Danio rerio: one gene and its partners. The main gene of each other region encodes a partner of the protein of the gene in region 2 in a complex. Links are inferred from orthologs where the notes say so. Each region holds a gene or a part of one and is shown on either strand. Other genes may lie near its edges.

What was found.
Region 1: smarcc1a (region 2) and smarcd1 share a complex: the UniProt entries of both Homo sapiens proteins name them as parts of the BAF complex. The link is inferred for Danio rerio from reciprocal best matches to the Homo sapiens genes SMARCC1 and SMARCD1.
Region 3: smarcc1a (region 2) and arid1b share a complex: the UniProt entries of both Homo sapiens proteins name them as parts of the neuron-specific chromatin remodeling complex. The link is inferred for Danio rerio from reciprocal best matches to the Homo sapiens genes SMARCC1 and ARID1B.
Region 4: smarcc1a (region 2) and smarca4a share a complex: the UniProt entries of both Homo sapiens proteins name them as parts of the BAF complex. The link is inferred for Danio rerio from reciprocal best matches to the Homo sapiens genes SMARCC1 and SMARCA4.
Region 5: smarcc1a (region 2) and phf10 share a complex: the UniProt entries of both Homo sapiens proteins name them as parts of the neural progenitors-specific chromatin remodeling complex. The link is inferred for Danio rerio from reciprocal best matches to the Homo sapiens genes SMARCC1 and PHF10.
Region 6: smarcc1a (region 2) and arid2 share a complex: the UniProt entries of both Homo sapiens proteins name them as parts of the SWI/SNF-B (PBAF) chromatin remodeling complex. The link is inferred for Danio rerio from reciprocal best matches to the Homo sapiens genes SMARCC1 and ARID2.
Region 7: smarcc1a (region 2) and smarca2 share a complex: the UniProt entries of both Homo sapiens proteins name them as parts of the BAF complex. The link is inferred for Danio rerio from reciprocal best matches to the Homo sapiens genes SMARCC1 and SMARCA2.

What each region holds. Positions count from the first base shown.
Region 1 is NC_133197.1:7,406,996-7,410,495, forward strand, and holds part of smarcd1 (SWI/SNF-related matrix-associated actin-dependent regulator of chromatin subfamily D member 1), read right to left. Parts: intron 3,465-3,500; exon of another isoform or gene 3,414-3,464; intron 3,173-3,413; coding exon 3,056-3,172; intron 2,932-3,055; coding exon 2,830-2,931; intron 2,677-2,829; coding exon 2,515-2,676; intron 1,322-2,514; coding exon 1,224-1,321; intron 1,144-1,223; coding exon 1,008-1,143; exon of another isoform or gene 1-1,007. UniProt on the Homo sapiens protein: Involved in transcriptional activation and repression of select genes by chromatin remodeling (alteration of DNA-nucleosome topology).
Region 2 is NC_133191.1:46,885,164-46,889,263, forward strand, and holds the start of smarcc1a (SWI/SNF complex subunit SMARCC1), read right to left. Parts: upstream 2,801-4,100; 5' UTR 2,783-2,800; coding exon 2,597-2,782; intron 989-2,596; coding exon 869-988; intron 1-868. UniProt on the Homo sapiens protein: Involved in transcriptional activation and repression of select genes by chromatin remodeling (alteration of DNA-nucleosome topology).
Region 3 is NC_133195.1:5,081,288-5,084,787, reverse strand, and holds part of arid1b (AT-rich interactive domain-containing protein 1B), read left to right. Parts: intron 1-2,025; coding exon 2,026-2,153; intron 2,154-3,500. UniProt on the Homo sapiens protein: Involved in transcriptional activation and repression of select genes by chromatin remodeling (alteration of DNA-nucleosome topology).
Region 4 is NC_133178.1:18,032,094-18,036,377, reverse strand, and holds the start of smarca4a (SWI/SNF related BAF chromatin remodeling complex subunit ATPase 4a), read right to left. Parts: upstream 2,801-4,284; coding exon 2,579-2,800; intron 20-2,578; coding exon 1-19. UniProt on the Homo sapiens protein: ATPase involved in transcriptional activation and repression of select genes by chromatin remodeling (alteration of DNA-nucleosome topology).
Region 5 is NC_133188.1:6,008,459-6,012,530, reverse strand, and holds the start of phf10 (PHD finger protein 10), read right to left. Parts: upstream 2,801-4,072; 5' UTR 2,784-2,800; coding exon 2,715-2,783; intron 1,954-2,714; coding exon 1,847-1,953; intron 1-1,846. Other genes in the region: actr2b (actin-related protein 2-B), read left to right, coding at 3,258-3,305. UniProt on the Homo sapiens protein: Involved in transcription activity regulation by chromatin remodeling. Belongs to the neural progenitors-specific chromatin remodeling complex (npBAF complex) and is required for the proliferation of neural progenitors.
Region 6 is NC_133179.1:1,986,170-1,989,669, forward strand, and holds part of arid2 (AT-rich interactive domain-containing protein 2), read right to left. Parts: intron 2,461-3,500; coding exon 2,364-2,460; intron 1,522-2,363; coding exon 1,312-1,521; intron 448-1,311; coding exon 283-447; intron 1-282. UniProt on the Homo sapiens protein: Involved in transcriptional activation and repression of select genes by chromatin remodeling (alteration of DNA-nucleosome topology). Required for the stability of the SWI/SNF chromatin remodeling complex SWI/SNF-B (PBAF).
Region 7 is NC_133180.1:46,027,891-46,031,390, forward strand, and holds part of smarca2 (probable global transcription activator SNF2L2), read left to right. Parts: intron 1-3,211; coding exon 3,212-3,500. UniProt on the Homo sapiens protein: ATPase involved in transcriptional activation and repression of select genes by chromatin remodeling (alteration of DNA-nucleosome topology).

The DNA of each region.
Region 1 (3,500 bases), on a different chromosome or scaffold from region 2:
AGTATAAACAGAAAGCATGCGTCTCGCTCGGCATTTGGTTATTGTTAGTCAACAAACGCCGGTTGTACATTAAACGCGTCGGGCAAAGAAAGCAAGAGAGGTATTTTTGTGGACAGACGACGAGGTCGAGTTGTTACCGAACGTAACAAATGAATAACTGCACAGTGGCGCCTAAAACAGACAATAGTGCAAACAACGCTCCCATTTCTGTGTCCATGTTGTTGTTTTCAGTACTAACTTCCAGTAGCATTAAAGCCATGTGTTATAGTCATGTGATAGAAACTTGACGAAGGAGGGAAGGATACGCAATGACACAAAAGCCTCAATCAGGTAGCGAATCTCAGCAGCCCCGCCTCCGTTTTCAGATGTCTCCGTTTTTCCTCATCCACACTGAAATGGAGCAGCAGCTTTTTAGAATGAAAACGGCCTCTCCAGCGTTTTCAAAACGCTCAGTTTTCGGCGCTCGAGAACTCCGGCGTAGTGTGGATGGATGGCTTAACCGTAGCAAAACTTATGCGTTTTAAAACTAAAATGCATTACTGTAAACGGGGCCTTAATGGCAAGCTGTCCAATGACAGCAGAGTTGTCTTATTTAAGAAAGGGGTTTACAGCCTAAATTTTCAAACAAACATCAAAATCATTGTAAAATGATTCTTATAATTGGCATATTCTGAGAAAATTACAATATTTTCTCAACTTAAATGCATTTAAACCTGCTGTAAGGGACTCAAACACAATATTAGGACACTTTAAAAAACAATGACAAAACATGATGGAAAGCAGAACCCTTTCTCCTGCACCACACCTCTTGTATATACAAAACAAATCTGCTCAAACATTCAGACCACTGCCAAGAGTCACTTTGATATGCAGCAGACCAAGCCACAAAACAAAAGAGCAGAAAAAAGTAACGCTTTCCCCCTGTGACGGCTCGCCAAACACTTTGAGGACTGTTTATTCAGCCAGAACAAAGACATAACTTTCCGAACATGGTGAAACTTTCGAACCTTGTTGTCGAGGCCTGCAATCTCCTGCTGACTGGCCGTGGAAAGCAGGAAAGAGTTCATCTGGGTCTTCAGGGTGTCGTCCACTTCCACGTCAATATCATAGCATGCAGTCTTCTTCTGGTCATTGGGATCAACGCTAAGAAGTAAACAGCAGTTTAGATGACGTAGCAGATAAGGAAAGATAGTGATTCTGACTAACATGTTATCAGTGGGTACCTGATGACGTGGTTGATGATGATTGGTTCTGGAGGCATCAGTAGGGCATGCAGCCGCTGAGGGATCTCAGAGAACTTCATCCTCTGGGTTTCAAAAATCTACATTGAGAAAAACAAGTGTTAATAGGTTCAAATTACACACGAAGACACGAAACTACTGGATTTTAAAGATCTACATTTGGAAGAACAGACAATTATCAGGTCCATCTAGTATAAGGTATCTAGAAAGAACCACCTGTTGATTATTGGATTTATAACATCTGGAAAAAGAACTGACAATTACAGGGTTTGTTTCAAAGCATTAAAACCACATGGTATAAATTGTTAAACTTAAAAAATTAAAAAAAAATCAGAACAAGCAGAAATAAAACAACTTCTGGAATTGTAAGACTGACAATGAGAAGAACAATTACAAGGTTACAAAAATCCAGAAAAAACAGCCAGCTATTATTGTTTACAAGTTCTGAGGAATTTAAAAAAAAAAGTAAATTGAATTTAAAACCTTTAGAATAAGAAGAACTGACAATGGGTTTTGCAAATATTTAAATAATAATAATAATAATCAGAACCAACAATATTTACACTCAGTACGCTTACATGGACACCAATAATTCGATTTTAATGCGATTAAAAGTTAAAAGCGATTTTTGATTAATTTAATCCGATTAAGGTCTTAATTGAACTAAAGAGAAATAGAATTAAGACGTGTGGAGTATGCCGATTTCAGTCGCATTATTGAAGTGCGGTACAGACATGTAAAAACCTTAATCAAACTATTACCGTCATGTAGGACTTCTCACCGGGTTTTGTGATAGGATAAAACAGTCCATAGACTAAGGCAAATAACTCGATTACTGATGTCCATGTAAACGTAGTCACTGAGAAGAACCAACCGCTGTCAAAAATCTAGAACTATCTATTATTGGTTGTACGATCTATAATAAGAATTAAAACTTAAAACGAAGATCTAAAATAAAATAAGTCAATTAATGGATTTCAAACATCTAGAATGAGAAGAATTGTAAAAGGAGTTTGTTTCAAAGACCTACACCAAGTAGAAGTGCCAATTATTAAATGAATTAAGTTGAACTATAGCCGTTCAGGATCAAATATTTTAAAGTTTAGTTTCACAGTAGTTTTTTTCTGATAATACTGAAATTTTTTACTAGTCTTTAATTATCAACTAAAGAAGTTTATAATTGTCAGACGTCACCACTTCTGTCTAAACGGGTATTTCCAGTTTAAGTCTTCATTCACTAGTTCCCATAAATAAAGTCCATGACATTCGTTACCTGCTGGAGGTATTTGTCACAGTTGATGAACTCTCGTTCATGAGGGTCCTGGAGTTTGTGGGTCTTCACATACTGCCACAAAGCCTGAATGATCACAGGCCGGGTCTGAGTGTGAATCCCCAGCAGCCGGGCCAGGCGGGGGTCCAGCTTATACTGAGGGGGCTAGAAAGAGAATGATTTCGTCCATCAGTCACATTTAATCTAAATAATATCCAGTTCAAGCATGTCTCAAGAAGAGGTGGCGCCATCTGCTGGTGATTTTTGAACAAAAATGCTAATAAACACACCATGTGCACAACTATAATTGAAGTTTACCTGGTAGTCCAGCATGAGCAGTACAGTACAGCGGACCCCAACATCCCCAGGCCTCTTGACCTGAAATCCATCTGTCTCCTGAGTTGTGGCTGTTCTGTGCCACTGTAATGAAGACAAAGATGTGAGAAATGGCACATAAGTGACAGCAGTGAGGATCTACTGGACAGCACAGCAATAAACTAAGTTTAAAGTACTATACTTGAGAAACACAATTTCTGATTCTCACCTCAACCAAATGATTGTCAGGTCCATACAAGTCTTTGTCCAACTCGATCACTAAAGACTTGAAAAAAGAAGAAAACTTCCTCTTCTGCTTGGTGGCTTCATACTTGGACACAGCGGTCTGTGATAAGAGAAAGAAATTGAGTTTATTGCCATATCAGCTTCTTTGGCTATGTCATGGCATTGGCATATGATTATAAAAATATTATAGCAATTAGAAGTCATCACCAGCAGTAAATAATACACAAGATAAAAATAAATGAACAACAATAATAATGATAATATACAAGATAAAAATCTAAAACAATTTATGGTTTCAGTCTGTGACAAAGAATTCAGTTTTACAAATAAAAATAGTGTACTTCTACAGAAACGATAAGGGGTTTGACCTAATGGGATAGCTCACCCAAAAATGAACAATTAATCATCATTTACTCGTTCAGAACAAG
Region 2 (4,100 bases):
ATAAGGCACAACGCTTGCAAATGCTTAACCAATGAATACTTGTTCAGTCTGTTTGGGCTGGTTTTGATGTGTGCATTTATTTGTTACGATAGAGTTTGTCGACATGCATTGATCATACAGTTTTTTATGACGCTGTTTTAAGTGTTGGAACAGATTTGTAGGATTGCTCAGTTTTGCCGTAAAAAACGTTTCACAAGTCTTACAAATGACCTTGCTCTGTGACACATTGTCTCTCCTGAATCTTAAATTCTCCCAAACAACTGATGTTGAATTTCTCTTTGGCACCAAATAACTTTTATTCTGACCTGCACCCGTATTTTATGTTCTTTCCTCACGCTCAACTTCGTTGTGTGCGGAGTGAGCTGGTTAACATCTTTCTCCAGCTCAGCTTAGCTGTATTTGCGTGGTGCACAATGTCAGCTGATTGGTTAACATTAAAATCATGCACACAAGAACGTATTCTGTATAAAAATCTAAATAAATTAATAGATTAAAAATTGCATGCGCTTAAATCACGATTTTTTTGTGATTGCGATTAATTGTACAGTCCTAGTTGTGACATTTCAAGTTGTGTTATTCTTTAATAACAAGTCATCAAACATTTGGGTGCTGTGATCTAACTCTTTGTTGTTTCAGGCAAACACAGCTAGTCATCTTTTGTTACCTACAGTTACTGAATGAATTAAAAATTAAACTTTAAGAGAAATCTGGTATTGATATTACTGTGCATTTGTGTCTGTGTTCATCTTTTGCTTTGTTTTGAAGTGGTTGTAATGCAAAAGCTTTATAAGATAAGGAGCTAATATTATTATACTACAGATGACAACACTTACTGAAAGCTAAAACAATACTGCAAATCCAGACTTACAGGTAGTTTGGTGAGGGCAGGATTGCTGACTCTACGTCCAAATGCATCCTCTTGAAACTGCAGCAATTGCACCACCAGTGCAGCCAATGTTTTGCTTGTAGGAGAGTCAGTCTGGACATGCTGCAGAAAAAAACAAGTCCTATTAAACACAAGCAATTCAACTAAGAAACAAAGCATTTGACTTTTCCAGTGAAATCATTACACCTGGAAGTAACAATACATGTAAAACATACTATCTCCAGTCAATACATGCTTCTGCAATTCTTGGATAACACAGTGAAGTAATTAAATGATCTAATGAACAATTATGACTTAAATAAACAAGCATGTTTTAGCTTTAGGTACACATCAAAACTAAATAATTCAACTAAACATAATGCCATTGTAAATCTTTTTTAGTAAAGCATTTAAACAGTGCATCACATAACTGTAGGACAGTTAAATTGAACTCTTCAAATGCGTTCTTTCACATTACAGTAATATCTTGAGCAAATAAATTATAAATAGCATCTATGCAAATTATTTTCTTTGTTCTCTATTTCTAGATTGTGGAGTGCCACTCGATCAGATCAAAGACATGAAAAGAGATGCCAATCCTGTGAGGACTTGAAGAGATGATGCCAACCATCAGAGATCTTCAACGACAACAAAGACTTAAGACACAAGTACACTTCATCGAACATGTATTATTATCATCCTTATTATTAATGTAAATATTGATTATTTTGTAAAAAATAAATCACCATATAACTGCATGTTAACCATGTTTATACACTGCCAACTGTTTACACAACTCATTAACTATTCTGATTTTAACTGTAATGCCTTTTGTGAAGCTACTTTGGGAAGATAATTGTAAGCGCTATACAAGTAATCTTGAATCTAAGTGAACACTGTGTCATTTGTGACAACTTGAATCACCTTGTAAATACCAAGATGAAATACTTTCACAGGTAAATACACAGCTATATATTTATGAGATTTACATAATCACTGTTCCATGGCACTTCTGTTAAAACAATATTAGATAGTTCGCCCAAAATTTATATTCACTCACGCTCAATTGGTTCCAAACCTTTGTAAGTTTCTTCTGCTGAACACCAAAGATGATAATTACTTTTAAGAACCTGTAAGCATTCACTTTCATAGTAGTAAAAACAAATACCATGGAAGTCAATTGTCACAGGTTTTTAGAATTCTTCGAAATATCTTCTTACGTGGTTTACTGAAGAGAGAAAATCATAAAGGTTTGAAACAAGTGGTGAGTAAAGGATGTCAGAATTTTCATTATTGGGTGAACTATCCCTTTAAAGGTTCAGTAAACAAACTTCTGCATAAACAACTGATACATTGTGGTGCTAAATACATTAAGAACGAATGGAAGACACAGTTTTAATAAAGCAAGTACAAATAAGACGAACATAAACACGGCAGTTAAGCAGATTTTAAGACATATCCTCATCATGGCAGATCTCAGTCAGCAACGTTAGCGCGCGAGCTAACTCAACAACCCACAACACTGCCGCTTAAAACAACACAACAGCTAAACTTGCCGACTAAAACGCCAGTACGGATGCTGAACACAATCTGCACGACTGCTCTGGTTCGACCCTGTCAAACAACCGACAATAATTGCGAATAAACAACAAGAAATCGCGCGTGCCGCTTCTTGTAGCTATTGTGTGATGCGCGCGCCCCCATTCAACGGGCGCCTCATGAGCAGCAGACCTTCTTATAATGTTTCCCGATCCACAAGCGAACTGTCTCCAACTGGGACACCGTTTCCGAGCTCTCCCAATACTTGGAAGATGGCCCTCCGTCTTTTTTACGTCCGATCGAGGAACCGGCGCCCGTTTGGCCGGCAGATGGTCCTCCGGAGCCCGTTCCGCCCGCTGCAGTCGCCGCTGTCGCCATTGTTTCTTTATTAGCGATAGAGGCTAGTCCGTGGAAAATGTTTAAAACAGCACTGCGTCTGCGCAACGCCGACACAGGAGTCGTTGCTCGAAGGAGATCTCGCGAGAGCTCATCATTGCGCGTTAGAGACCAGTCGAGACGTAAATAAAAATAAAATAAAAATAAAATAAAATAAAATAAAATAAAATAAAATAAAATAAAATAAAATAAAATAAAATAAAATAAAATAAAATAAATATCCAACTAAAGAATCAAAATAATAAAATATTTAAATAATATGATGATTACTAGTTTAGAGCTGGTTTACACTCTAATGCAGTATGCAATTGTAAGTACGCTTAGGAATCGAATTTACCAAAATCTTACAAATACATGAGATACTTAGATATTTATATTATTTTAAAGAATTTTTTAAGAATTTCAGATGTTTTAGATATTAACGAAAATTGATTGAGTTATTTTTATATTACATTATTTTATATAGTATTATATTTATGCATATAACTAATCCATTTTTATGATTTAAATAAATGATTTAACACAATTCTCGGAAGCTATGGAATTAAAAAAAATTATATATATATATATATATATATATATATATATATATATATATATATATATATATATATATATATATATATATATATATATATATATATATATATAGTATAATATAATAATATAATATTTTTGTACATCATGCAAATAAAAAAGGCAAAATGTAGCATATTTTGTAGCCATGAGAAAGTTTTCATGTGTAATTCCACCGCTGAACATCATAAGTCGCTGTAGACAATGAATTTGTCCTTGGGAAAGACTTTTATGTAGGTCTACTGCTATATTTATTTATTTTCCCTTTTTCTTTCTTATTTTCGCATTTATTACTTTTTTATTACTTTTTAAATAGTTTTTTTTTTTTTTTTTTTTACTTTTTTTACTTTACTTTACTTTACTTTACTTTCATTCTTTCGAGTTAAAAATAACATATATTTTTACAGAAAGAAAAAATTGTGCCATCTAGTGCTTAAACAGGGTTTTACACTTTGAGAGTCTGGATCAGGTCTATGGTCTGGATGCAGACTCTGCAGTTGAAATCTGCAAGGCACACAGCATACAGCAAAGTTGGCCTACATCTTGACCCACATTTAAAATACATTTTTATTCATTTCAAATAAGGAAAACAATTCTACCATTCAGGTTGCTTTGAGAAAAAGCACGCCTTTAGCACACCTAAAACGCAACGATTCATTGATTTATCCATTTCATTGCAGTCATGACACAAAAACACATCTGGCTTAGTTCAAGCTCAGTTATG
Region 3 (3,500 bases), on a different chromosome or scaffold from region 2:
TTCACAGCCTTTGCGGTGAAGCTCTAAATTGAGCTCAGGTACATTCTGTCTCCACTGATCATTCTTGAGATGTTTCAGCAGCTTAATTGAGTTCACCTGTGGTAAATTCAGTTGACTGGACATGATTTGAAAAGGCATACACCTGTCTATATAAGGTCCCAGGGTTGACAGTGCATGTCAAAGCACAAACCAAGCATGAAGACAAAGGAATTGTCTGTAGACCTCTGAGACAGGACCGTCCGGGGAAATTCCTGCTGCTCTGAAAGTTCCAATGAGCACAGCGACCTCCATCATCTATAAGTGGAAGATGTTTGGAACCACCAGGACTCTTCCTATAGCTGGCCGGCCATCTAAGCTGAGTGATCGGAGGAGAAAGGCCTTAGTCAGGGAGGTGATCAATAACCCGATGGTCACTCTGTCTGAGCTCCAGCGTTCTTCTGTGGAGAGAGGAGAACCTTACAGAAGGACAACCATCTGTGCAGCAGTCCACCAATCAGGCCTGTATGGTAGAGTGGCCAGACAGAAGCCACTCAACGCCTGGAATTTGCCAAAAGGCATCTAAAGGACTCTCAGACCATAAGAAACAAAACTCTCTGGTCTGATGAGACTAATATTGAACTCTTGAATGCCAGGCGTTACGTTTGGAGAAAAGCAGGTATCGCTCATCACCAGGCTAATACCATTCCTACAGTGAAGCATGGTGGTGGCAGCATTATGCTGTGGGGATGTTTTTCAGCAGCAGGAACTGGAAGACTAATCAGGATAGAGGGAAAGATGAATGCAGCAAGGTACAGAGACATCCTGCATGAAAACCTGCTTTAGAGTGCTCTTGACCTCAGATTGGGACGACGGTTCATCTTCCAGCAGGACAATGGACCAAAGCACACCGCCAAAATACCAATGGAGTGGCTTCACAACAACTCAGTGAATGTCCTTAAGTGGCCCAACCAGAGCCCAGACCTAAATCCTATTGAACATCTCTGGAGAGATCTGAAAATGGCTGTACACCGTCGCTTTCCATCCAACCTGATAGAGCTTGAGAGGTACTGCGAAGAGGAATGGGCACAAATTCCCAAAGACAGGTGTGCCAAGCTTGTGGCATCATATTCAAAAAGACTTGAGGCTGTAATCGCTGCCAAAGGTGCATCAACAAAGTAGTGAGCAACGGCTGTGAATACTGATGTACATCTGATTTTTCAGCTTTTTTACTTGTAATAAATGTGCAACAATTTCAAAAACTCTTTTCTCACACTGTCATTATGGGGTATTGTATGTAGAATGTTAAAAAAATGAATTTAACCTATATTTTTATAAGGCTGTAGCATAAAAAATGTGGAAAAAGTGAAGCACCATCAATACTTTCCGGATGCACTGTACAGTACAACAAAAAATAGATATCATGACAGGCCTATTTGTGCGTACTCATGGCTAGTGAATGAGACCCAATATTTTTTACTTATCTAAAGAAATGCTTCTTGATTTAAGCATTTTTGATGATTTTTGGACTAAATACAAGACAATAACTAAAAGTAAGAAAAGTGTAGATTTAGTGGATTGACCCAAATATGAAGTAGTTCACCCCAAAACAAGGAAATGTACAGTCCTATTTAATCTTTGAGTCTTTCCAAATCTGTGTGCTCTTACTTTTATCTGTGGAACTTGAAAGGTGAATCTCGGCAACTGCTTTGTTGGCAACAACATTTTAATAATTAATAATTGGTGATGTTCGTAGTGGAAGCTGCGATTTGATAGTTGAAAACATGTAAAAGCCATGACATCTAACCTTAGTAGACATGTAGATTCTACTACTGTCTCATTTATGAGAAGACAGACTACAAACAATGCAGGAATCTGTTTCTTTCCCCATGTGTATTAATCCTTTAACTCTCTCTCTCTGCGGATTCTGCATGTGTTGCTTGGCAGCTGAAAGAAAGAAGAAATGAAAATAAGTGTACTAACAACTTACCATTGAACCCTTTACATTTTGTTTGTGTTTTTGTTCTTATGTGTTTTTTTCGTCCATAGGCCAGCCGGGTATCAAGGTGGCTCCCACATGCTTGGAATGGGTCCCGGAGGGCCTTACAGCCTTCCACCGAGCAATAGCTCTGCCAGGATGACCCCTCAAGGTCCCTCCTACAACACAATGCCCACAGGTAGGATTTAAAATACAATATTTAAAAGGGTCCTATTATACCTTTTTTATATGTAATTTATTTTTTGTGTAATGTTGCTTTTAAAGCATACATAAAAAACAAAAAAACAGTGTATAGTCGATGTAGTTTCTCGAACTCTGTCGGAAATCTGTAGTCTGAACCACATTAGTTAAAATGCAAAGCTTGTGGAGTAACAACTTCTTTAGATAAAGTAATTAAATCTTTATATACTAAAGTACTAAATCTTGATATGATTGTTTTATATATATATATATATATATATATATATATATATATATATATATATATATATATATATATATATATTTTTTTTTTTTATATTTTTTTTTTATTATTTTTAATTCAATCTTAGTTTATAACTGCATCTGCAAATGCTGTGTTCTTGACTTATAACCACTTTTATAATGTGCTTAATAATTGTACTTTCATAATTTGTGACTGGTTGATTTTTCATTACTGCATTATTTTTACAAACCATTTGTATTTACGAGTAGTTGGAGGTTTTTAAGAGCATTCAGAATGAGTTAGTAAATGATTAATGAACTATTGAAATTGATGTTTATATATCTTATTATTCAGGCACATACTAATGGACACTATGTATGTTAATAAATGCTTTACTTCTTGCAGTTTTGTGACCTATAATCTGATAATGGCAAATGTCTGATTTTACCAGTGAATAAAATTGTCTAATATGACAGATTGCATGCCTATATCTCAAACATAATAATTCAACATCAGAGTTATTATGAGTAGAATAGAATTATTTATAGAAGTCAGTAGACCCACACATAATATTATTATCGATGTTGTGCCATATGTTTGTCTTTACCTTTATTTTACATCTACAGAATCGTGAGAAAATCGTGATCTTTATTTTAAGCAAAAAAATCGCTATTCTCATTTTAGCCAGAATCGTGCAGCTCTAACGTACGCCAGATTTCACGCTCATGTTTGGATTTACTAACGATGAAATGAACGTGAGAATGTGCGTTGGTCCACGCCAACTTCATGGAGAATCAGAACAGAATCGCCAAACTATGTTTGTAATGATGAAATTTGCAATCTTAGTTGGCTAATATTGGTAATGCACCCCTGATTGAGTAAAATACCATAAAGTAATGACATTATAACGGTATTATTTAAATCTAAAATTTAATTCAGAAAGTGTGAGATTATAGATTTGGCAGCATTTATTGAGGAAAAAAAGTGCTTAATGCGGTTCAGCTTGAGATCAGTTACAGTATACAGTGTCTTTGTTTGGAGGCTGTTGATGAGATGTTGTGCACATCTCTGGATGGTGCAGGACTAAGGGTCTGAATCTCC
Region 4 (4,284 bases), on a different chromosome or scaffold from region 2:
CATGCATGCCCTCCATGGGCTTCAGAAAAACACAAAATACAGCATGACTCAAAGATGATGACCGAACAGCAGAAAGGAAAATCAACACTGAACTAACAGATCTACACTACTAAAAGAAGCCTATTCTGCTCACAAGATAATATTTGTTTGATGGAAAATATAGTGGCAGTTGTGAAATATTAATACAATTTAGTGTGACTACTTTCTTATTAAATATAACATTACACGCATTTCATCCTGATTTTCTGAATCATTAATTCACTCTTTAGTGTCACATGATCCCTCATCATATTAGAATTAGATCTGCTGCTCAGAAAACATTTAATATATATATTATTATATATATGAATTGGAGAAAAAAAACAGCGATAGGGAGATATATTTTTTAAGTTTTTGCGTTTATCTTTATTATTTTTGCATTACCTCACAAACATGTTGTTCCACAAACACTTCCTGTTTACTTCATACATGTCAACCCCCCTAAAACAAAACCAGAGATTTATTTGTTGCTCCTAACTTGTTTGATAACAGAGGTGTCATTTTAAATGAAATGTACAGAAGCTGATCTGGGATCAGATTATCATACATCCATCAGTCAGCCCTTATATATGCATTCACTGATTCAGAATTTGCGTATGATTGATGCACAGCTTTAATGGAAAGAAAGTGAAAGCAGACGTTTTTATATTAATTAACGTGCTTTCAAGATCAAACATATGGGAGAAATACGGAAAAATACTTAATGATAGGATTATAGCGGGATAGAATGATAAAATACGGGAGAATCAATCCCAGCAAAAACTGGAGGGTTGACATGTATGAAGTGAACAGAAAGTGTTTGTTAAAACAGTTTTGCAAGGAAACACAAAAACTTAAAACATATATACTTTCCTATCTCTCCATTTTTTTTTCTCCCATCCATTCCTTCCACCATCACATCCCTTCTGGGTCTCCTTACAAAACATTCATACACACCATTCAAAAGTATTATAATATGCCTTTAATTACTTTTATTAATCAAGAACACATTAAATTGTTCAGGAACAGAAGTAATATTTAATGCAAAAAGAGAAAAATGCTGTTATTTTTAACTTTCCTTTCAACAAAGAATCCTAAAAAGCTGAACCCATCACAGATTTCTTATGTGATGCAATAAGTTTTCAAAATTGATTATTGTAAGAATCCTTAAAGACCAAGTAGCAATAATAATTGATCATAATAGAACAGCACATTGTCATATTATTATAATGATTTCTGAAGGATCATGATTTAATTATATTTTAATGACATATCAGTAGTATTGGCTATATTCATGGCAAAACCTATACTAAATAAATAAAATATAACAATCGTATCAGTTTCTTAAACATACATTGAACAAAAAACACATTAAGAGTCATATACAATATTTTAGTCTAATTAAATATAAATATTGTATTAATTCAAATAAATAAACATTTCCCTTAAAATATCTCCTGAATAAAAATGTTCTCTAATATCATTTAAAAACACACATTCTACTGAAATATGTTTTAACATAAAAATATTCTTACACAAGTCATAGATAGGTTTTTCTTCCCCTTTCGATAAATACAAGTGTGTGAGTCATGAGTGTCCGATTCTGCATCTCATGTGTACAGCCTGACCATGTGTACTTTCAAAATGCTAATTATTTATTTTATTTTCAAATGGACTAACTTAATACAAATTGTTGTTCTTTCTACATTCATTCCATTCACCATTCCGTATTAATATTCAGATTTAAAGCAGGTTTAACATCAGACAAAGGTTTGTTACTTTCAACTTCAACTGTAGGGCTTCCTTAGCTGTTTTATCTCCACGTTCATTTCCAATGAATCCCTTATGACCAGATATACAGCAAAAAAAATTATATCAAAGTCTTTTTCCTTTAAAAGGTCCACATTGACATTTTCTATTATGCTAAAAATCATAGGATGATCGGTTTTCATAGATTCAAGTGCTTGTGTGCAGGATATAGAATCTGTGCAAATTAAAAACTGGCGTTACTGTTCTTTTTCTATTTGTTCCAAAGCTACAAACAGTGCACAAGCTTCAGCTGTGAATATAGAGCTTTATCCGGCAATACTTTTTTTTTTAAAACACTCTGAACCCATCACTGATGCAGCAGATACGCGTCCATCTGAGTTTGAACCATCTGCAAACACTGGTACAAAAGATGTAGATTGCATAGTGTATTTATAAATTCTTTCTGATAAACATTTGCCTTTTTTAGTACAGAGAAAGGTGCATCACTGCATTATATTAGAAGGCTTTTTAATAAACCAAGGTGGTATAGGGCATACATGTTTGAAGGATCATGTGACACTGGAGACTGAAAGAAAATGATGATGTAAATTCAGCTTTGAATCAGAGAAATGAATTACATTTTTACATTCAATTATTTAAAATACTAATAATATTTTGCAAGTTTTCTTTTTACAATATTTTTGATAAACATATCTAGCCTTAATGAGCATGAAAAGTTTTCTTTTCATTTTTTAATTACATTAAAAACCAAACTTTTTATACAAGTGCTATTGATAAAAGCCATTAATACCTTGTGCATCTGGTGCATGTTGTCCTGCGGGTAACCTGAGGGGCCCTGTGGAGGTAGAGGGTGTCCCGAAGAGGGGGGCCCAGGGCTGGGGCCCATCATGCCATGGGCAGAGCCAGGTGAGGGTCCAGGACTAGGCCCTAACATGGCCCCAGGAGACGGCCCAGGGCCTGGGGAAGGTCCCGGCCGAGGGGTCCCGCCCATGGGTGGGTCAGGAGTGGACATCTCTCAGCAGAGCCAGAAGTGAGAGGCAGAAACACAGTGTTCTGGATTCTCAGAAAGCCTGGAAAAACACATTCATTTTATTCCAGAACTTAGCCATGATTAACATTTCTTAAAATGCATAAATGAATTACATGTTTAACACAAATAGAAATATTTTGATTTACTAATGACTTACAAGAAAAAAAACTTTCTTATAAGCTCACGCTTTTCATGTATGGTGATTTAGTGTCTGCATAAAAGTGTATCCGTCATTAAGCATTGAAAGTAAATTAATGTAATTAAAAGTGGTAACTTCAATATAAGGTATAGTCAAATTTAAATAAAATACCTGAACTCTCACATTTATTTAAATGTATTAAAAAAAGATGCTGTGGTTAAATTCTTTCATTTTAAATCATTAACACTTTTCTGCTGACAAATCCTAGAGAGACGTTAGGAGGGCTTGCTGCAAAACTGCTAGCCTGACATTCATTGGTTATTATGTTTTCCAGTCAAGCTACCAAAAATGAATCCATCCTGCCTGTCGGGCTATCTTAACAGGAGAAAAAACATAGCCCATTTCAATACTTTTGCATTCTTTCATAGATTGTGTAATTATGCTGTATGTAATTTTCATGCATTGGGGTCCCACCATCAATAAATGTTTGAATTCGTATTTGCACTAATGGATTTTGTCAAAATAGCCGGTACTTTGGTACAAAGTTGATTTAAAAAAATTTAAATAAAGGTACCAGGTGACCTACCAGATTGTCGCATGATTGTTTTTCAGGGACAATTACAAAATGAAAAGAAAAAAAAAAATAATAATAAATGAAATGGTCATTTTCAAAAAAATAAAATAAAAATGTAAACGTAAATTTATAATTATATGTAGCCTATAATGAAAGCACTATAATAACTTTGTTATTTAGTAAACGTGTAAATGTATATATTTCTATTTATTTAGTAAATAATACATTTTCAATTCAGGCTACTTGAATTTAAATCAGGCTGACAAAAACTGAAGAGTGCCAGCCCGAAATGCTACCAGAAGTTTTGCAAGCCCTCAAACCAAGGTATCAAAATTTTAAATCAGCAATTAATTAATATTTTAAGGCTGCACTCTTATGCTCAGACTATTTTAAATGTCATTAACCAATTCTTGATCAGAATATGCCTGTTTAATTATTTTTATAGATATATAATAATAAAACTGCATTATACTTTGATTCTTAAAAACACTTATAGCGACCACCACCATGAAAATACAGCACTAATTTGACATCTTAAGATCTGATCTCATCCTAATGCCCTGAAAGCTCATCTGTAAAAAATTATAGCATCATAGCAGCTACAGAATGAAGCCAGTTATAGCTGCAATATAAAAGAACTTAAAATGGGCCACGAGTCTGGGTTAATTAATTTCTGCCTTAATGTGTGCCAATGAAAACATTAACCAGTTTAATGAAGGGGCTTTCTTCCAAAAATTGTATCCAGGTTGCTTA
Region 5 (4,072 bases), on a different chromosome or scaffold from region 2:
AACGTTTTCAGCTTTGACTATTAGATTAGACTATATCTAGATTAGATATAAACAAATGCTATTTTAAGGAAGATAATGAAACCATATTGGTATATAGAGATAAATAATCATTTGTAAAAAAAAATGTATTGAGATGGAAAGTTGGTGATTGGATGGGTGTTAGCCCTATTGGGTAGCTTTACATGGACATAGAAAATGTTTAATTTGTTAAAAAAGATTTAAGAGCTACAGCACAATACTTCAGTGAATTTAAGACTTTTTAAGACCTAAAATGTTGTTTTTGAAATTAAAGAGATTGTAAGTCTTTTTAAACCCTACAGATACCCCGGCTGTGTGCCACACTTTTTTGCGTTTCTTTGTGTTTCTGATGAGATTACGTCAAACATTGAATATAAATGCTTATTTCAGAGCACTTCACAAGACGTTTAAGTTAATATTCTTAAGATAAAATGTCTCTAAACAGAAACACAAGTGAGGAATTTCAGCCTTATGGGGGTGACATTTGCAGGAAAATTTAAGCTTAAATTCACAGAGAATATACATCATAACAGTATATCAAAACATCTTTTTCAAAACAACTATCCACAGAGTTAAGAGATTAAAATATCAAACTGTAAGCTTACATTTACATTTAGTCATTTAGCAGACGCTTTTATCCAAAGCGATTTACAAATGAGGACAAGGAAGCAATTTACACAACTATAAGAGCAACAATGAATAAGTAAGTCTGTAAAGTCTAAGAAGGAAAGTATTAGTAAAGTTTTTTTTTTTTTTTTTTGAGTACAGTTAGTGGTATATCCAGAGAGGCAATTGCAGATTAGGAAGTAAAGTGGAGACTAAATAGTTGAGTTTTTACTCGTTTTTTGAAAACAGCGAGTGACTCTGCCGTTCTGATGCAGTTAGGGAGTTCATTCCACCAACTGGGCAGATTGAATGCGAGAGTTCGGGAAAGTGATTTCTTCCCTCTTTGGGATGGAACCATGAGGCGACGTTCATTCACAGAACGCAAGTTTCTGGAGGGCACATAGATCTGCAGAAGTGAGAGCAGATAAGAAGGAGCAAAGCCAGAAATCGCTTTGTAAGCAAACATCAGAGCTTTGAATTTGATGCGAGCAGCAACTGGCAGCCAGTGCAAACGGATGAGCAGCGGAGTGACATGTGCTCTTTTAGGTTCATTAAAGACCACTCATGCTGCTGCGTTCTGGAGCAGCTGAAGAGGCTTGATAGAGTCAGCTAGAAGCCCCGCTAATAGAGAGTTGCAGTAATCCAGTTTGGAGAGAACAAGAGCTTGAATAAGGAGTTGAGCTGCATGTTCAGATAGGAAGAGTCGGATCTTTCTGATGTTATAGAGTGCGAATCTGCACGATCGAGCAGTTCTAGAAATGGGGTCAGAGAAGTTTAGTTGGTCCTCAATCGTTACTCCAATGCTTTTCACCATTTTGGATGCAGTAATGGTTGCCCCATCCATCTGGATTGAAAAGTTATGGTGTAGAGTCGGGTTGGCAGAAAGCTATTTTATACTTTAAATGTGAAAAATAAACATGCGCTATAGATGCAATATTGAAAACAATAAACAAAAAATACTGTTTGAATTTTACATTTTACAGACATTTTGTGTATTTGTACAGTACTGAAAGGTCTTCACTAATTTGGCGTAAACCTAATCTCTGCATGGAATTGCTAAAATCCTAAATATATCATATTATATTAAATAAGTTCACTTTTGAGAGAACGTCTATTTACATAAATTATTTTGAAGGGAATTTACAGACCAGTGTCAGAAAAAAAACACCTGTAACTGGTGTGTGTGTGTGTGTGTGTGTGTGTGTGTGTGTATTGTGCTGACCCGAGCTCATGGGTGGAAGTGTCACAGCTCCTGGAACTGTCTCCTGAGCCCATCCTGCGCCTCTTGGGGGCTTGACTCCCATCACTGGAGTTCTCCTCAATGTCATCCTGTTTGAAGAGAAAGTCTGTCACATAGATTTCTGTATTCGCAGGCTAACATTAAATAAATTGAGGTCAAGTTTAATATTCGCACATTTGTTCAGTGGCTAATTTTGACATGCACCACAGTGTATCCATATTCTGATGGCTACTTCCAGCAGGATGACGTGCCATGTCATAAAGTGTGAATCACCTCAGACTAACACGACAATGAGTGCACTGTACTCAAATGGCCTCCACAGACACCATATCTAAATCCAACAGAGCACCTTTGGGATGTGGTGGAACGGGAAATTCACATCATGGATAAGCAGCTGACAAATGTGCAGCAACTGTGTGATGCTATCATGTCAACATTAACTAAAATTTCTGAGGAATATTTCCAGTACCTTGTTGAATTTATGCCACGAAGGATTAAGGCAGTTCTGAAGGCATAAGGGGGTCCAACCAGGTACAAATAAGGTGTACCTAATAAAGTGGCCAGTGATTGTTTATACCATGCCAATAAACTAAAAACGACTGTTCAAAACCATCTAGATAAGTCATTGCGGGTCCACTTTTCTGTGTTAATCAATTTACGAAATATTACTCGAAATGCATGGCCTGTTCAGCTACCTCGGCTAACGTTAACAGGCTAATGGTAAACAAACAAAGGCGAATGTACGTCACACTCACGCTGAAACTGTACAGGTGTAAGTACAGTTTTACATTGCTAGAGTGATATATCTGCAGCTTCTGCTAAGAAAAAGTAGTAAGTAAACATCACAAACCTTTATAGACTGGGTCCCAGGAGTTGCAGGATTGCTATCGCACGGTCTCGGCGATAGAACAGCTGCCATGTTGTTATTCTGCGAATGAAAGGGCGTCACATTCCGGCTGGAAACTAGCACAATGGGAACGCGACAAAGTGTTCCTATCTCTAAAAACAAAAAATTGAAAACTAAATATTATTTAATTGCACGTCTATTTTGGTAACTTTTTGGGACAAGGTTTATTTTAATTACAAACTATTTAAAATGTTTTACATTTATTTTAAAATTATGTTTTGTATTAAATTTAAAAATTTATTATTTTTATTATTTTTATTTTTAATTAATTGATAAGACATTTTAAATGTTTTTTTATTTAATAAAATTTGTCAATTATAAAAAAAAAACAGCGTAGGAGGCGGGGCTTGTGTAAAAAAAACAGGCTTGTCTTCTCGCGCAACTGTCTGGAACAGGAAGTGAAACCCTGCGCTGCTGTTTGAGTGCTAGAAGCACTTTGTTGAGAAAGTTCGGCTTCCTCTGACGGCTCCTCTGGGTCTCTGAAAGATGGACAGCCAAGGAAGAAAAGTGGTGGTTTGTGATAACGGAACAGGGGTACGTCCGCAACGCTAACACGCGACGTTTGTCTTGTCGAGCTTTTATTTCGAGTGACATGATAATAAGACCGATAGACCCCTAACAGGAAGTCATGAAAGCTTAGCGCAGCTATAAAGAATGTCTGACAGCTGCTTTCTCTGCTGTGTTATCTGACTGTGGCTTTATTTCTCTGCTTTATATCCAGCTTTCATTCTGCAGCAGACTCGATATCTCATATTCTTTCGTTAGGAGAGAATCGTAGCATGGCGTTGGTTGAATTAACTGCAAATGTCGCTTCATAATACAATAATAACAACACATTGACACAAATAATCGAATTAACTGCATGACCAAACCTTCAGAGCTCATTCTTGCAGCGATATGCTAGCAGCTTTCTTGCATAACATATTATTAATATGAATTTTGCGTTGCTATGGTTACATGCCATTCCCCATTCACTGTGAATGTTGCTGCCACTTGCTTTCAAACTATTTTTGCATATTACAAGCTATGGGTGATGGCACTTCCTCATCTCTCGGTTTCAGTGGATAGGAGCTGCACTAATGTTCAGTGATGCTCAATCCTGGTTAATCATTCAATACATTCTTTGCACATTAGAATAATGCTGATATAGTGAGCTCTGGAATTTCGCTGGTTTTGTCCTGACATCACAATTTTGGCGACGTCAGCATGTTTGAAGCTCAACTCGAGGTAGAAGAAGAAGTAATGTGAATGTTTTAATAATGTATTTTTAGTAAACAAACCAAGTCAGTGAAACAGAGAAG
Region 6 (3,500 bases), on a different chromosome or scaffold from region 2:
ATATAGTATTATTTTCAGTGCTGGTAATTGCCACATTTTTGGGTCTATTTCTGTTGTGTTCTGTGCATGTGACATTGTGATGATTCGCAACACACATACAGTCAAAATAGTAAGGATCTTCGCTTACTTTGCAGGCATTTCTTGGTTATTGCATGAGTTTTCGTAAGTTGCAGCACGTTAAGCTCTCTCTGCCACCATATATATCAATCCTTCTGACATGTGCATGCATTATGTTGAATAACCCGGTTGTACAGAAGTAGCAAGTGTACACAGTCGACTCACCAGCAGCAGGAGTGCCTTGCGTAGCTGCAGGAACATGCTCTACGAGCTGCGGTCGAACCTCGGACACCTGAGAGCTGGAGGCCTGATGCTCGATCAGTTTCACTGCCGTCAGTGCATCCGGTCCGAATGTCTGCAGGTCCACCGAGACCAGCCGTACTAAAAGATCTTCACATGTGAAAAACTGATCAGTTCACTTGGTTCTGGTAGTATCAAATGTTCTTGTTGCAATTAATTCCTGAAGCTTTTATCAAGATATATAGTATTATCATAATATTGACCTACAGTTAAAAAGTAGTCAAAATTATTCGCTTTCCTGTTATATAGTATAATATAATAACATTATATAATATAAAATTATTTTAATATAATAATAATAATATAATTTATTATAATATATGATATAATTTAATTTAATATAATTTTATATAATAATAATAATAATAATAATAATAATAAACTTTATTATAATATAATTTAATTTAATATAATATAATTAAATATAATAATAATATAATTTGTTATAATACAATATAATTTAATTTAATATAATTTTATATAATAATAATAAACTTTATTATAATATAATTTAATTTAATATAATATAATTAAATATAATAATAATATAATTTAAATATAATTTATAATGTAATTTAATATAATATGAAATACTTTAATATAATTTAATTTAATATAATTTTATATAATAATATAATTAAATATAATAATAATATAATTTATTATAATATAGTTTTATATAATTTAATATAATATAATAATGATAATAATAATATAATTTAAAATAATATAATTTAATATAATATAATAATATAATTTAAAATAATATAATATATTTTAATCTGATTTAATCTTATTTAATATATTATGATATAATATACATAGTTTTTTATGCACATTTTGACAATTTATGTGCATCTTGGCATTTTATTTCCCATATTCCAAAATGTGCATAAAAATAGGTGGATGGAAACGCAGCTAGCGGCAGACTGAATTTTTTAGCTGAACACAAACCTATGCTTCTCTCCACGGAGGAGATTTTGGAGCAGGTTATCTCTCCGAGCTCAGCCAGCTGATACAGGACCTCCAGCGCAGAGATGACCAGCATGACGTCCGGCAGCGTCAGAAGAGCAATGATTTCTCGGTATGACTCCTGATCCACATACTCGCAGATCAGCACACCGTTATCCTCCACTTTGCTCAGGTTCCCCAGGATTTCCATGGCTGTAGGATGCAATGAACATCTTAAAGGGATAGTTCACTCAAAAATGAAGTTGTAATCACTATTTAATCTCCCTCAAGTGGTTATAAACCTTAGGTGTTTCTTTATTCTGCTGAACACAAATTATTTATATTGATGAATGATGGAAACTTGTAACCATTGACATCCATAGTAAGAAAAACAAACACTATAGATGTCAATGGTTACAGATTTCTAGTTTCATCAGAATATCTTCATGTGTTTCTTCTGTTATGTCCCTTTTTACAAAATGTAAAGTAAGTCTCTGATGTCCCTAGAGAGTCTTATGTGTCAGCTCAAATACCACACTAATAATGTTTTATAACTTTAGAAACTGCCCCTTTTAGGCTTTGAACCTAATTGTGCCACTTTTGTGACCGTCTCTTTAAATTCAAATCAGATTTTTTCAAAAGAGGGCGGAGCTATAAATGCATGTGCATCAGTATAGTGGCAGACTCAAAAACAAGACTAACATTCTATGCTAATGAGGGAGATGGTCACTAAAGGCTTCCCCCTTTGATGACACGTACAAAGGGAGAATGTCAATCAAAGTGTTTCTGCAGACTGTTTTCATCAAGAGTGATTATAAAATCTAAAAATAATAAATGTTGATCATTGGAAGCCGGTTATTTTCACAGACTGCTTCTACACAACTGCGTTTAAACCATTTATAAAAGGGATTTATGCATAATAGGTGCCTTTTAATCTCTATAGGCTTGAAGCAAGTAAATAGTGGGCAAGTCGTTTGGGTGAACTATCCCTTTAAGCAATTCCAAAAGGAAAACAGCAGTTCTGACTGCACAAATGTTTGCTTTAAAACACTCACCCCTCATTTTGAGAAAACGATCCCGTGACAATAAGCATTTGGTGATGGTGTGAAACATCAGATGCGTTGTTCGGAAATCAACCGGATCCAGCTGAAGCTGAAACAAACAATCCAGAAAGACAACTATTACTTAAAGATCTGACAAACAGTTAATAAACAGTCTGTAAAATATTGCAGGGATTATTTTTGCTTAAAACAGACTAAAATGCTTTAAGCATTAGTCATATTAGCAGACACATAAATAATCTGGAAAATGAAAATGCTGTTTTTTTTTTTTTGTTAAAAATGTTGTATTTTTGTTTAAAAGCAGAGCTACGCTCTTTATTTTTATATATAATGTGCATAAATAGCAAAAAACATTCTGAATTAAGGTAAAAATAAAGTTAAATAAAAATAAGGTAAAAAACATAGACTCTGTCAAGTTGTCATGACAAAAACAGGTTGTGATGTATTTTGCACATCACCTGTGCATTTAAAATGTCATAACAGAGCGAACGACACTAAATGACAGTTGTTATAAGCATGCATAAAATCTCCACATTCACGATGTGTCATGTCACGATTATAAAAGTCTTTGTTCCATTACTTTCAATTGATCTTGTTTGTCTTTTTGCCCCTTTCAGTTTTCTAATGGTTAATTTGGCAGCGTCAGGCCTTTAAAACGGACAGAAGCAGACTTCTCGCGATCCCTCATTCCTCCATGCCATCAGTTTTTTTCAAAGATTTATTTTGGCCTTTATGCCATTATTAGATAGGACAGTATTGAGACAGGAAGCGAAGTTGGAGAGAGAGAGAGAAAAAGGGGGTAGGGTAGGGAAATGTCCTCGAGCCGGGATTCAAACTCTGGACGCCCTGACGAGCTACTGCACCATTTGTCAGCGCGCTAACCACCAAGCTATTGCGCAACCACAGTTTTTGACAGCTTTATAGTCGTGTTCTCGTTTATACTTTCCTTTTAATATTTGTTTGGTGTCGGGAGTTCCAATCTGCTTTAAGTTTATTTGCTGGTTATTTATTATGTTGTTGAGCTCCCCATCTCTTATCATTTGGTATTGTTTTGCTGGTAATCTTATGTTAATAAATAATTTAGTTGGAGCCGTTGTTTATATATGGCAAGTCGTCTTTGGATCACGAGTC
Region 7 (3,500 bases), on a different chromosome or scaffold from region 2:
TTTTAGCTCCAACCCTAATCAGACACACCTGAACAAGCTAATCAAGGTCTTGCTAGGTATACTTGAAACATCCAGGCAGGTGTGTTGAGGCAAGTTGGAGCTAAACCCTGCAGGTACACCAGCTCCTCAGGACCAAGATTGGTGACCCCTGGCTTAGATGTTTGGTAAATTAAATTAAAAAACATATGAAGAGTTTAGATGCAAAAACCTCTAAAGGCCGTTTTCTACTGAAAATAACGATTTTCTCCGACTCCTATGTGCAGGCTCTGTAATTTTACTGTTAAAATGATGAATGAGTTATTTTCATTGACTTAAACGAGAATATAAACATAGAAGGCTGGAAAAAATGCTCATTTTAGCAGAACATGGCATTTAGAGGTTTTTGAATCTGAACCCTTCATATATATGTCATGATAGGTGTCAATGTGGTGCAGTGGTTAGCATGATCGCCTCACAGCAAGAAGGTCGCTGGTTCTAGCCCTAGGGGGGTCAGTTTGCATTTCTGTGTGTCTCTGTGTTTGTATGTTTTCCCTGTGTTAGCATGGATTTTCTCCAGGTGTTCCGGTTTCCCCCACAAGTCCAAAGACATGCGCTATTGGTGAATAGGGTAGGCTAAATTGGCCGTGCTGTATGAGTGTGAAAGAGTGGGTATGTTTCCAAATGTTGGGTTGTGGCTGGAAAGGCATCCACTGCATAAAACATATGCTGGATAAGTTGGTGGTTCATTTTGCTGTGGCGACCCCAGATTAATAAAGGGACTAAGCCGAAGGAAAATTAATGAATATCATGTAAAACAATTACATGTTCTAAAAGTGTTTTCCTTTGTGTTATGCCTTAAAAATAACATTATGAACTGTAAGAAAACCAGAACTAAATGGATATTTTATTTTATTTTTTTGCCAAGAAATTTCCGATGGAGGAGTTATGGAAATTTTAGGTTGTTTTTTATACAATGATGGAATACGTCAGATAAGGCTGTAATGCATATTCTCTTGGCAAATTGCTTTTTATGTTTATAGATGTTTTTTTATGTTGTTTTTGTGATACAACAATGTTGTACATATTTCTTTATACTTATAATCAGAAAAAAACAACAACGAACAAACAGTTTTTCCATTAATTTAATAGGCCGACTGAACCAAGAGAACTAAACTACAAGCATGAAAACATTCTAAAACCAAGCAGCTTACTGTTGGTATCATATTTGTGACCAACATGTGCTGTTCATGAGCAAGTTTTCTGTCGGGAATATTTTCTCCCTCTTGTGAAGCTTCCATATATCCACTCAAAGTATTATGTCACCAAGTAGTGGCAATCATGACTGCATACCTTAAAATGTGTGCACATAAAAATACAAAACGCAAAAACTAGAGAATAGGGATGCACTGACAAATTTTTAGTCCGTTATCGATAACCGATAACTCTTAAGATTTGGATGTCCATAACTGATATTAGCCGATAAATATAAATATTTTTCTAAATATTATTTATAACTATTTACTAAATGTTATAAATATTGCAAGGTGATTAGACTTATATTCACCATTTCACATAAATCATTCATTCATTCAGTTTCTTTTCGGCTTAGTCCCTTTATTAATCAGGGTCGCCACAATGGAATGAACTGCCAACTTATCCAGCATATGTTTTACGCAGCGGATGCCCTTCCAGCTGCAGTCTAACACTGGGAAACACCCATACACTCTTTCATTCACACATACACTACATCTATTTTAGCTTATTCAGTTCACCCATATCGCATGCTTTTGGACTGTGTGGGAAACCGGAGCACCCGGAGGAAACCCACGCAAATATGGTTAGAACATGCAAACTCCACACAGAAATACAAACTGACTCAGCCGGGGCTCGAACCAGTGACCTTCTTGCTGTGAGACGATCTTGCTACCTACTGTGCCACCTCGACACCCCTCACAGAAATCAGCATACCAAAAATAAATCATTTCCTTTTCTTTATAGCAAATGAACATGCAACTTGACTGTTGCATAAAAATAATAGATTAAATGACAAAATTGGATTTAAATAACAGACAAGTAAAATATATAATTTAAATAAAATTAAAATAAATGTAAAAAAAATTAAGAACTAAAACCAGCTCAAATATTCTTAAATAAAACATGTTACAGTAATGTACATATGTCCAAATATGTAATGTCCGGAAAAGCGCTCTGAGAGATGTTTTGATAGTTCAAAGCCACTGTACAAGCGAAAAGCTTAATACAGATAGTATTATTTTAGAAAATGCGGCATAAATTTGTCCCATTTGGAGTTTTAGATTCATTTGAACATGTAGCTGCTGCTTGTCAATCAGACAACACTTCTATGTTCATGCTTTGTCAATTGCTGGAATAATGATCATTGAAAGGTTTTTGATAAACCTTCAGATTTATCATAGTCAAATTTGTCCTCTGAGTCACATTTTGACACCACACCTGAGCACTGATAACTTAATGACAAACACAGTGCATTATATAGAGACTTGTAAAATTATATAGAATTTGGTTGAGAACCACTATGCTGGATTCATGTCTATGTCGGCTCACTATGTGTGTGTGCGCCGTGCTGATAGCCATCATGTGCGCTCGTTTTAATCATTACAAATATGCAGATCAAACTGTATACAGTCTTACATCAACAACAAATTGCAAGCAATGCGTTGCTAATAACAAATAATTAAAATATATTACAAACAACCCAACGAGTTGTTTAGCATGTGTGCATCGCTGCTATTATGCTTACATATGTAATATTTTTTCTGTGGTGTTTTAAACCAAAATACATAATTACACTCAGTCAAATAATCTGCAATGATAAGGAATATGGTTACTTACTGAGATGTTAATGCACAGCAATACCACACAAAGAAAGGACGGGCTTTGAAGAAATTCTTAATGTGAGGAAAGCTCGTTATAGTGCACTCAAAATGTCTGAACAAGTTCAACCCACGCATGTGTGAGGCAGGCAGTTCAGTACAATTACATAATTTATTGGCATAAAGATATCAGCCTAATTTTGAGACCGGACCGATAACATAAAAAAAAAAAATAAAAAATCTATCGGCCGATAACAATATAGCCGCCAAGATATATTGTGAATCCATACTAGAGAATCAAAGCAAAAGAAAAACTGATAAATTCGACAGCACGTCGCATCATTTCTACAGAATACATCTTTTCCTCTTTTGCTTTTTAGGATACATGTCGCCTCACCCTTCACCGATGGGCCAGGTGCCGGAGCATGTGCCTAGCCCCATGTCAGGAGGAGGGCCGACCCCGCCACAAATGTCCCAGGGTCAGTCGCCCATGATGCCAATGGATCCGCAGGGGATGGGACAGCAGGCCAGGGGTCAGTCTGCCTTCAGCCCAGTCCAGCTACAGCAACTCAGGGCTCAGATCCTGGCGTACAAGATTCTGGGACGAGGCCAACCTCTGCCTGAAAACCTACAGTTAGCTGTGCAGGGCAAGAGGAGCCTTCCCACCAT